3 linked regions of the Rattus norvegicus genome follow. The protein of the gene in region 2 interacts with the protein of the main gene of each other region in a biochemical or structural test. Links are inferred from orthologs where the notes say so. Each region holds a gene or a part of one and is shown on either strand. Other genes may lie near its edges.

Region 1 (3,745 bases), on a different chromosome or scaffold from region 2:
CTGCCCCACCGACCAATCGTAGGCAGAGTAACAAGGGGTCAAGAACCAACCAGACACCTTGATGGGCGGGCCTCAGTGAAAGCAAGCTGCTGAGCGCGCGCAAACGGTTGCTAGGGACGCGCTGGACGTCCACTACAGTGCCTCGGAGGAGCCAAAAGAAACTGGTTTCTCCGGCCCCCTCTCACCCCTATCACGCCAAGTGACTGCAGTTCACTCCTACAGCGGAACCGAGGACGGTGAGCGACGTGCAGCCCTCCTTTTGGCGGCCACATTCTCAAGGCGAGGACGATGAGCAGAAGCGGACGATAAGGTGGTTCTCTGTGGGCCGGAGGCGGCGAACGCGCGCCCCCGAAACCGAGCCGTGGCCTCTCTCCCCTTCTCCAAGCATCCGCTAAAGGCAGCACTTGGCGCCAATATATCAGCGCGCAGGCGCGGAATAAACTGTTCTCCCTCGCCTACCTGCTCACGGTGCAGACACACAGCATTGAGGCTCCGGAAGTCGGGGCATGTCTATTCTGTTTTACCTTTGGCCTGTAGAGCTCTCCTGGCCTCAGTAACTTTACGCCTCCGAAGTCAGCACAGTGACTTGAGCGAATCTGCAAGCTTGAAGTGTCTCCCATGCTGCCTGATGACTTTCCGGGATGTCTACGTTCGCCGTGCTCGCCTAGACTCCACTCATTCATCAAACCCCTAACTCGGGGGGGGCCGGGCCCTGGGGAACTACAATTCCCATGAAACACTGCGACCACGCAAGCGTGTCAGCTCGCGCTTCTATACTTTGTTCCATTGGCTGGCCGACTGGACCTGGAATCCTGATTGGCCCATGGCCTGAGGCGACAGATTCCGGAAAGGGGAAGAGCAGCCAATATGGCGGCGGAGCGCGGCGCGGGGCAGCAACAGTCGCAGGAGATGATGGAGGGTGAGCGGCCCCTGTGGGCGACCCGGGAGCGGCGAGCTGGGGGCTGGGCGGGCACGGCCTCTAGTCGGATCGGAATTCGGCCTCCGGCCACAGCCACGAAGCTCTGACAGCTGCCAACATGGCTGGGCAGTGCCGGGGAGGCTCGGAGACGGGAACCCCGGCCCGAGAGCGGTAGCGGCCAGAAGGACCATACCCCGGGGAACAACGTGGCGCGAGCCCGCCCAGGGGGATTGGCGAGAAAGCCGTGGCTATAGGAACCTGGTCTTAAAGCTCCGAGATTGACAGGCGAGGGGGCAGGGAAACTGAGGCTTCAGGCGTGGGGACTGTAAAGTCCAGTTTGTTCACGCGGCATGGATGGAAAAGAGTCTGCTCTGGAAGCGAATGGGTTGTGGCAGAGGGTCGGGTAAAAAAGAGCTCCGGAAATTGATTTTACAAGGCGTTGTCTTATTTTTCTATAGTCTCGAAAAGACTATATTCAACTTTCTTCCTTCAGTGTGTTGGATTATGTCATCGTATACATGTGTAAATACACATGTAACACATGTATATGCTTTTGTATACAGTTGTGTAGATACGTGATCGTTACATGCATGTATGTGAGTGTATGTATTCACACAGACTTGTACATATGTACATGTACTTGCCCCACCTGCTGTAGCATTAGGCGAATCTTAAAAGCCTTTGAAAGACTCCTCTACTTCGGTGAGGATCGCTCACTTCTGGAAGATCACTCACTTTTCGGGGAAGAGTGCTAGGAAAGAGAGTTGCAGAGCAAGGGACAGGGATGTGGAAGAGAAGAGCGGTGAGTTTGAGAGCAGTGATCCCTTTCTGAGATGGGCCCTGAAAAATGACTAGACGTCACCCAGCCTGGGGTCACATGGGGAAGACCAGTATCATTCCAGAGAAAGGAAACCCAGTCAAAAGCAAAGGCGTATGGAAACATGACCTAAATAAAGTCATGCAATGGGGAGTAAGGAGAGCCAGCAAGGCTGCCCAGAGAAGTTCTTAGAGAGACTTGAAGGGAGTCATCCTAGAGGTCTTTTGTTTCTAACCTTTGACTCTTTCTTAAGTGAGGAAATGCTTCTTCTGTCCCCCTCTTCCCTCCTCCAGTACACCTCTCCCCTCCCTCCTCAGTAAAGGGCAAATACAAAAGCCAAGCTTTTCCTCTCTTCCACTCCCACACATGTCATTACCAGCTGGTACTTAGGTTTCTATGGCCCTATGTCTTTTTGGAGATTCGGAGGGTGGGAGTGTTGTTTGGTTTGGTTTGAGAGCCTGGTTTGGTTTGGCCTTGTTGTTGTTTTGTTTTGTTTTTAAAGACGGCCTGTGCGGACCAGGCAGAGCATGTTTTGCCACCTTCTCTATCACTGCTAACCTTTACTCAAGCCTTCCTCCTCTTGATAGAGTTCATTGCCTTTTTGCTAGCCTGTTATACCCAGAGCCTCACAGTCACATTCTTGCACATTATCTCAGGCTCTGGAAGCTTTCTACTGCCCTGAGGATACAGGCACAGGGTGCACCCACTCTCCCTTCTATCCTCTGGCTCCTCCTGAGGGAGGTACAGAGCCTCATTTCCCTAACCCCAGATCACAGGATGTCCTCTTGGTAACTCATAAATTCTCCTACATGCCATAGGCATGAGCTACTACTGTTGTGCCCTTTCTCATTTGGTCCTGAAAGGGGAGGGTACTCTACTAACTCTTCTACAGAGATGAATATCAAGGTTTAGAAAGGATGATCATTTGCCAAAGCCACATCTCATTGCTGCTTTGTTCATAACTCGAAATCTGTTTATTTACTCCAAAAACACTTTGCATTGTTAACTCTGCCCTGTGGTGGTTTAACACCAGCAGTTTGCTGGGAGCATCTGGCGTTTTTGAGACCATCTCATTTTCATTCATTCTGCCCACTGTCTGATTTTAGCTGGTCTTGATTTCTTTTTTTTTTTTTTTTTTTTTTTTCTTTTTTCTTTTTTTCGGAGCTGGGGGCCGAACCCCGGGCCTTGCGCTCTACCGCTGAGCTAAACCCCCAACCCTTGGTCTTGATTTCTTTTGGAATGTGGGGCCTGAAAATTGAACCAGTTTTCTTGGCCAAATGGATAGTGAGACATCAATGAGGGTATGTGGCAGAAGGGTTCCTCTTGTGGTGGACATAACGTCAGATATGAGAGCCGCCTGGAAGGAACTTCAGTACCTGGTGTCAATAGTGTTCCCAATCGTAGATGATCCAGATTTCAGAACACTTGTCAATTCTTGACAAGCTCTTAGAGGGGAAGAATGACATATTAATTGTCTTCATGTGACCTCCCAGTTTCTGTCCCTGTATCTTAAATATTATTGGATGTGGAAGACATTCAAATGTTCATAAAATGAGTTCAGCTATTTTAGAAAAAAGGCTTGCTGACTTACAACTGTTGTTAATCTCTTTTGTGTTCCTCAAATTGTCACATGAAGTAGATGTGAATTGTCACTGATGTGTGGGTTCAGTTGACAGGCGTGTTGAATCTGAAGAATCAGGTGATGAGGAAGGGAAGAAGCATGGCGGTGGCATCGTGGCAGACCTCAGCCAGCAGAGCCTGAAGGATGGGGTAGAACGGGGCGCAGAAGATCCGGAAGGTACTGGGTTTAGTTACTTTGAACTCACCCAGCAGGGCAAGGGTGCTGTTGAAGAATACTGCTCTTTGTACACGGTGTCTCCTCACGGCAGTAGTGGTTTTCCTCAAAGGGTCCCCATAGATTGGGCAAGTGGGGATGCTGGCAGAGGGCTGCCTCAGCAAATGACGGAGTTAGATTTATGAGTACAGTGGATCCATTTCTGCTGAAGGGA
Region 2 (3,650 bases):
TCAGGGCTGTAGTAGTTTCCACTATTGCTTTGTGAGTGTGAACTGGGAATTGGAGGAGAAAGTATGGGAAAACAAAGCATGAACTCTGCACATACTGGAAGCATGTCTGTTTCTTCATTGATTCAATTTTCTCAGTATACTAGGCAAAAATAAAATCAATCGAAAGAATATTAATCTTAAGTGGATAGAAATGTATGTTTCATAGCACTTAAGTTAGAGTCAGGGCAGAGATCTTTGTTACTACACAGAGAATATATGAAATTATTTACACTGGGAATTGTAGTGCAATTTTTTAATTCAAGAATCTCCAAAGAGTAAAGCTTCTTGTGTAATCATATGTGCCTGGTAAATGGCTTCCTGTAGATGAGTGCTTCACCACAGCAGTAGAAGACAGTGGTCTGAGAAAGTAGAATTTCCTAGGCAGACAGGGTGAAGGGAGGAGGCAAGGACCCCGTTACCATGTTGCTAAAATTGTTGGACTCTGCACAGACTCAGAAGGGATACAAACTGTCCCATTTGAGTTTCATTTTAAGGTTACACCTGAAGAAGTTAGGTGAACTTCTTTATAAATGAAAGTTATTTCATAAAGCTATGTAGCTTCTTATTTTAAATAGTTTATGTCTATTGTGCGTTTGTATTTATGAGCTCTGATGTTTAAAGGCTTTATTCAGGTGATCAGGAATATGGTGGATTACATATAGCTCAACCTCCAACTGGGAAAATTGTGAACGAACTTTTCAAAGAGGCAAGGGAACATGGGGCTGTCCCTCTAAATGAAGCCACAAGATCTTCAAGTGATGACAAAGCTAAGGTCAGTGCTGTCTTAAACCTACAGTGTTTCTGGGAAGTTAGGAGGTGTCTACACACAGCCTTCCTGATCCTTTTGGCACCCACTGTTATGGCTGTTCTCCGTGAGGCTCGACTCTAGTCTTTATTTGGCAGCAGCTGGACAGCTTCCTGCAGTCAAGCCTCTAAGTTATCCAGTTCTGTTAGAAAAGTATGGGTTTGATTTAGTTTGTAAAACGAAGTGAGGTTATAATTAAAAGTGCATTTGTGATGAAAATGGTAACTAAAAGAAGAGCCAGTTCTCATATTATCCTAAGTGTGACCATAGCCAGTTTGCTGTAGTTAATCAATTGTGACCATAGCCAATTTACTGTAGCTTAGAAAAAGGCTTGAAATGGAGGCCATCACAGAAAACAAATAGGCACAAATGCTGAGATCAATATGTTGTGGTGAGCCCAACCCCAACAACTACATCTGCATCACAGCCCCGGCACCTGTGACTCAGGGAACATCAGGGAAGAGGGGGCCAAAAGATTGTAAGAACCAGAATTCCACGGAGTCTGCTGTGAAACATTCTGTCCTAGAAATGGCTGCTTAACCTAGACTGCGTCAATGGCAGTGTCAATGGACACATTTACATGGAGGGGGAATTTCATGGGTCATACTCCTGAGAACTACAGACACTGATGACTGCTGGGAGAGGGAAATCAACTCTCTCAGGGATGAGCCCTTTATTGGTTGTCCAATACAGTGATTACCCTTGAAATCATATGCATACTATTAACAAAAACATTCAGTGTATATATGTATAATGTTTGCGTATATATACATTATATAACAATGCATGTATGTAGCAATAATAAAAAAGGTTATCAACTTGAGAATGGGGGTGTGGGAGGAACTGGAGGGGAAAGTGACATAATTTCTATTTTAATTAAAACCATTAAAAAATTTAAAAGCCTATTAAATACATATAGAATTTTTTGTTGTAACAGTTATTTGTATGTGTCCACATGTCCACAACACACATATGGCAGACAGAGGACAACTTGCAAGAGTCCGTTCTCTCTACCATTGTGGCTTCTGGCAATCAAACTACGTTATTTCATATTTTGAGTTACTGATGTTTTTATGAGAAAATATTTAACTTCTCACACTTCTTTCTAACTCAAGGTCTTATTCCAATATGTTTTCCTAGTCAATATGAATTTGGTCAGTTATTATTTGTCTAATGTGTCAAGTATAAGAATAACATTTTGAGTGTCAGCCGTGGAGAACTCTTAACCCATTTCTACCCATTTGTGGTGTATTTTAGTCATTTACAGGTGGAGGGTACAGACTGGGCAGTTCCTTCTATAAGAGGTCAGAGTATATCTATGGAGAAAATCAGCTGCAAGATGTATGTACCGCCCCAAAATGGTCAAGCATTCCCTCTAATGCTACTTTTCCCCCTTTCTGAACTTAACACTTGACATTAAATATACTCTCGCTTATTCGTTTTCAAAGCATGGGTTGAAGCCAAACTCTGTTTCTATCTGCTATGTCTTACGTTTAGAGATGTATAACTATTTGTGGCAGGAATATATAATTCTTGTAATTCTTTTTTAAAATTGTATACCTTCATAATACAAAATGAGTACAGTTTTAAAAAAAAAGTGAAACCATTATTTCTGTTGACTTTGGAACGTTAAAATAATAATTTTTTAGATTTTGCGAAGGTCTGCCTTGCGCGTTGTCCTGATGTTTAAGCTGTGCAGAACAGGAGAGCTTGGGTGTGGATGAGTCACAGGAGCCAAGCAGAGTCCATCTTCTCACTGTTTGTTTCCTCAGTGAACTCTGAGCAACTGCACAGAAGCCAGGCTCCTCCTGTGGGACTTTGATATTTGCAGCTTTTATTAGTGTTTTAAGCTAAAAATAAACCTCTTAAGTAAACACATGAGCACACATATTTAGCTTTGAATAAAATATCTTCATATTTTAAGATAAATCAATCAGGTAGTAATTTGGGAAATACCACACTGAAACTTAACATCGCTTGGAGATGAATTCTTCTCTTTTTTGTACCTCCAAAGGTTCAGATTTTACTGAGGCTGTGGAGCAATGGTTTCAGTTTAGATGATGGAGAACTGAGGCCTTACAGCGACCCAACAAATGCTCAATTTTTGGAGTCCGTTAAGAGAGGGTAAGAGGAATTATTTGTGTTTTGTTTATCATGTTGAATGGAACTATTTTAGTATGTGCATGCATGTTCCTGTGCCTGTATATGTATGTGTACAAGTGCATGTGGGGACCGTAGGTCAACCTCAGTGGTTTTCTCACTTGCTGAGAATTTGACAAATAGGCCAGACTTGGTTGGTCACTGAGCTCCAGGGTCTGTGACCCCAGTGCTGGGTTACAGGCTCACACCACCACATCCAGCCTCCTTATCTACGTTCTAGAGGCTATCATGCTTGTGTGGCAACTATTTGACTGTTTCTCTCTCTCTCTCTCTCTCTCTCTCTCTCTCTCTCTCTCTCTCTCTTTCACTGTTTTGTATATACTACTAGCTTTCAAGAATTAATTACGGTGACTTATTACACAAGTGATTTGGGGGAGATGGATCTTTGTGGAGAAAGGATATTAGATGATTGAATATCTTTTACCTATGATGACACTATGGGCTCTGCTCCAAGAAATCTCTCTTTTTTTCTTAAAGATTTATTTATTGTATGTATGTGAGTACACTATTACTCTCTTCAGACACACCAGAAGAGGACATCGGATCCCATTACAGATGGTTGTGAGCCACAATGTGGTTGCTGGGAGTTGAACTCAGAACCTCTGGAAGAGTTGTTAGTCTCCTAACTATTGAGCTATCTCTCCAG
Region 3 (3,750 bases), on a different chromosome or scaffold from region 2:
GTGGAGGAGTGGTTGGGGTGGGTCCTGGGGTTGTAGGACGCCGTCCTTTGCGGTGACCCCGTACACAGTGCGTATGACCACAGCCTTCCTCTTCATCCTCATCACTCTCGGTGGAGCTCTCACCAAAGGCCCGAGGTTTCTCATAAATACAGCAGCCTGCACGGAGAGGGAGGACGCCAGTTAAGAAGGATGAAGAACATAGTGCCCGGTCAGTCTCATTTCCACCATGTATGTTCAGAAATCCTCTCTCAACCACTGTCTCCTCCTACTTCCTGGAATCCAGCTGCCTTAGCCTCCTCCCCAGGTACTCAGGTACCTATGAGTCCTGTCTCCTCAGAGAGTTGGAGGCACCTGCCTTCCATGCTGCCATGGCTCCCCCAGCCCCCACCCCCAGGCTTTGGTTCTGCAGAGTTTGACTCCCACCCAGTTTTCTTTCCAACCAAGAACTTGAGGGGCTGTAAAGCACCAGAATCAGAGATGGTGGCCGGGGCCCGCTGGACCCCCCCGCCCCCACACACACACTCACATTTCGATGAGCGGCGGCCCATATGCTCATTGTCCACAGTGTCACTTGACCACTCCACCTTCTTCTCTGGCTTCCGTTTCCGAAGTTTAATGGTTAGGCTCCGATTCTCCTGCAAAGTTAAAGAGGTATGGGCCCATCTAGCTCACTTCCTCTTGACTTTTCCCGTTTCCCATGGAACCTCCTCTTTTGTCATCTGTGGCTCAGTCAGTAGCACGCACCATGCCCCTGGAGGAGCCAGGTGCTGGGAGTCAAAAAAGGACATGTGTTTAGCCTGTTTGTGGGGAGTATGGACTCCTGTTCTCGATAACCAATAGTATGCAAGGAAGACAATTCTTAACCTAGGGTAGATGCCAGCAAATCTGCAACGCAGGACACAACGCTCCCTGTTTCCTCTTCCACATCACCCTTGGTGATATGAATAGTAGGACTGTTATTTTCCCCTTTTCCTGTGACTGATCTTTGACCTCCCTTTCCTCTCCACCCCTCTGATTCATGTTCGCTCTAAAGAGATTGAAGGCATGTAATCCAAGCATTTAGTAGCTTCTACAACTTGGTAAAGCTTTTTTCTTGTGGAAAAAAAAAGATAAAGAAAGAAAGAAAGAAAGAAAGCAAGCAGGGATGGGAAACATCTCTGTTGGTAAAGTTCTTTTTTTGCAAGCATGAAGACCTGAGTTTGATCTCCCAAAATCAAGAAAACAACAACAACAACAACAACAACAACAACAACAACAAGAAGTCAGATGTGGTGATGGTGGTGCACGTTTGTAATTCCAGTATTGGAGAAGTGGAAAAAGGCAGATCTCTTGCTAGCCAGTCTAGCCTATTTGGCCAGCTTTAAAAAAAAAAAAAAAAGATTTTGTATCAAAGAAGAAAGGAAAGAAGGAAGGAAAGAAAGAAAGAAAGAAACAAACAAACTTATGCCAGGCTTGAGAAACATTTGAGATTGACTTCAGGCTACATACATCCACACACATCAAAATAAAACAAATATCCAAAATTCTCCTCCTACAAAGAGAGCCTTCATTCTTCTCTCATCTTCAAGCCCAGGGCTCCCTAATCGTATTCACTTATTCTTTAACACCCTGGCATCTCTGGTAATAATTACTAAACAACTAAGCCCCTTTCAACCCAGACATTATTAGACCCAGCGCATCTTTCTCCCTTTGAAAGCAATTTGGTTTTGCAAAGGCTGTTTGCTCATTTGCTTCTCTCCTCTCTGATATGTCAAAATACTACCTTCACCTTATTTTCTTGTTTCCTCATTCCCTCCCTCCGCTTTAACACGCACCCATTCCATGACTATCTATTGGCGAGCACTACTGGTAAGTACTCGTTCTGCACGCTTGCCTCCAAAACCATGCTTTCTCAAATGGCGTTTCGCTTCCTTCCAGTACCTTCCTTGGTCCAGTTTCCGTTTATTACGTACACAGACCACCACCCCAAGCCGTAACACCTATACTCTAATTGTAACTGCAGATTAAACAATCCTTGACGAGTCACTTGAACCATCTGAGCCGCTCCAAGCATTTCTAGTCACTTCCGATTTTCCCAGTAAGAGTAAACCCCACAGGTCCCAGATCCCAAACCCTCCAACTTTCCAGACCCCCATCCCCCTCCCAGTGCTTCCCAGACCCCTAAACAGCCCCCCTGCCCGCGTTTCTCACGGGCTCGGTTGTCACGGTAACCGTTGTCTCAGTGACGGTCTCACTCAGCCCCCCGGCTCCTGCCTCCGCCATGGCTAAAGCGAAAAGCGAGGAACCAGGATGAGACACCCCTCCCTTTTTCTGCGCCTCTGAGATCTAAGAGAACCGGTACACGATTCGGAGTAGAGGCCAGGATGCTCTGGCTTCTTAATCTCCCCTACTCCTCCAGGGCCTCTGCTTCCCCACCCCTGGGGAAAAACCTGTCCAACCCCACTTCCGGCCTTTCACTTCCGGGTGTGACGCATCCTGCAGAACCCAGTTTCTCTTCCCCAGCACCGCTCGGGCCAAAACAGGCGTCATCAGATTAGTTCCGCCGTAATGCAATAGAGCGCAGACGCTAAGGTTAGCAGAAGCTACGTCATTGTGGGGTGGGGCCAGGCGGCCCAGGGCCTAAGTTCATTGGCCGGTCAACCCTGCAGGCACAGGGGATGAGCTCTCTGTGCCCACGACGCTTCCCCTACCTGCTGTATCCTTGAGCGTGAAAAAAATAGGTGGGACAGGGACTCTATCTCGGCCAAATTCCATTTTACTATTCTGTCGAGAAACGGTTTTCCGGGAGCAGGAAATGCACTGGGGTCTAGTCCTCTCCCTGTTTGTTGATATCTCAGTGAGGGTACACTAAACCTGAAATTATTCGACTGTAGTAGGCCCTAAGATAAAAGTGTGAAACACCCAGACTGCTGTTTAGTTCTCTGTTTGAAGAATGCAAGGGCTAGATGCAGGGGGCAGAGTGAAAAATTCAAATTCATCTGGTTAAGTTCTGTTGAATCTTTCACCATCCGTCCCAAAATTCCAGTTTTTGTTTCCTTACAATGAGAAACTAAATTTAGATAGGATATATGTATCATATGTATACCGGTTTCGCTTTTTATTTATTTTTTTTTATTGGCCTTGTGATGGTTTACATTTAGGCTTACTGTGCTTGAGAGACCAAACGTGAAAAAAGGCCTTTAATTTGTAAGCTCCTAGCTTTTACAAGTTGTACCCTGGCAGCCCACTTACCTTTTTTTTTTTTTTTTTTAACCAGACACGGGGTTTCTTTGTGTATAGCCCTAGCCTCGATTAGTAGACCAGGCTGTCCTCAAACTCAGATTCATCTACTTATGCCTCCCCATGTACTGAGATTAAAGGCCTACACTACCACCACCCAATACATTATTATTCTGTTTTTTAAATTTTATATTTTTGCTTATTCACTTTATATCCTGCTCACTGTGTCCCTCTCACAACCCTTCTCCCATCCCCTCACCCCTTTTCCTCTGAGCTGGTGGGAGCCCTCCTGGGTATCCCACCCTGGCATTCAAGCTAGGTGCCTTCCATCCCATTGAGGCTAGACAAGGCGGTCCAGCTAAAAGAACCTATTCCATGTACAGGTAACAGATTTTGGGGTCGCCCCCACTCGGTTGTTTGGGACCCACATGACAACCAATCTGTTACATACGTGGGGGAAGGTCTGGGTCCAGCCCACGTATGATCTTTGGTGGTTCAGATTCTGAGAGCCCTAAGGGTCCAGGTTAGTTG

Evidence for each region. The genes of interacting proteins can lie anywhere in the genome.
Region 1: the proteins of Ubxn2b (region 2) and Ppp1r7 form a complex in vitro, tested with the Homo sapiens proteins (2 studies listed by BioGRID). The link is inferred for Rattus norvegicus from reciprocal best matches to the Homo sapiens genes UBXN2B and PPP1R7.
Region 3: the proteins of Ubxn2b (region 2) and Ppp1r11 form a complex in vitro, tested with the Homo sapiens proteins (2 studies listed by BioGRID). The link is inferred for Rattus norvegicus from reciprocal best matches to the Homo sapiens genes UBXN2B and PPP1R11.

Annotation. Positions count from the first base shown.
Region 1 is NC_086027.1:101,332,692-101,336,436, forward strand, and holds the start of Ppp1r7 (protein phosphatase 1 regulatory subunit 7), read left to right. Parts: upstream 1-805; 5' UTR 806-867; coding exon 868-919; intron 920-3,405; coding exon 3,406-3,534; intron 3,535-3,745. UniProt on the Homo sapiens protein: Regulatory subunit of protein phosphatase 1.
Region 2 is NC_086023.1:24,111,212-24,114,861, forward strand, and holds part of Ubxn2b (UBX domain-containing protein 2B), read left to right. Parts: intron 1-660; coding exon 661-811; intron 812-2,101; coding exon 2,102-2,185; intron 2,186-2,858; coding exon 2,859-2,968; intron 2,969-3,650. UniProt on the Homo sapiens protein: Adapter protein required for Golgi and endoplasmic reticulum biogenesis. Involved in Golgi and endoplasmic reticulum maintenance during interphase and in their reassembly at the end of mitosis.
Region 3 is NC_086038.1:1,605,296-1,609,045, reverse strand, and holds the start of Ppp1r11 (E3 ubiquitin-protein ligase PPP1R11), read right to left. Parts: upstream 2,464-3,750; 5' UTR 2,263-2,463; coding exon 2,191-2,262; exon of another isoform or gene 1,886-2,190; coding exon of another isoform or gene 1,874-1,885; exon of another isoform or gene 1,824-1,873; coding exon of another isoform or gene 1,815-1,823; intron 636-1,814; coding exon 527-635; intron 157-526; coding exon 1-156. UniProt on the Homo sapiens protein: Atypical E3 ubiquitin-protein ligase which ubiquitinates TLR2 at 'Lys-754' leading to its degradation by the proteasome.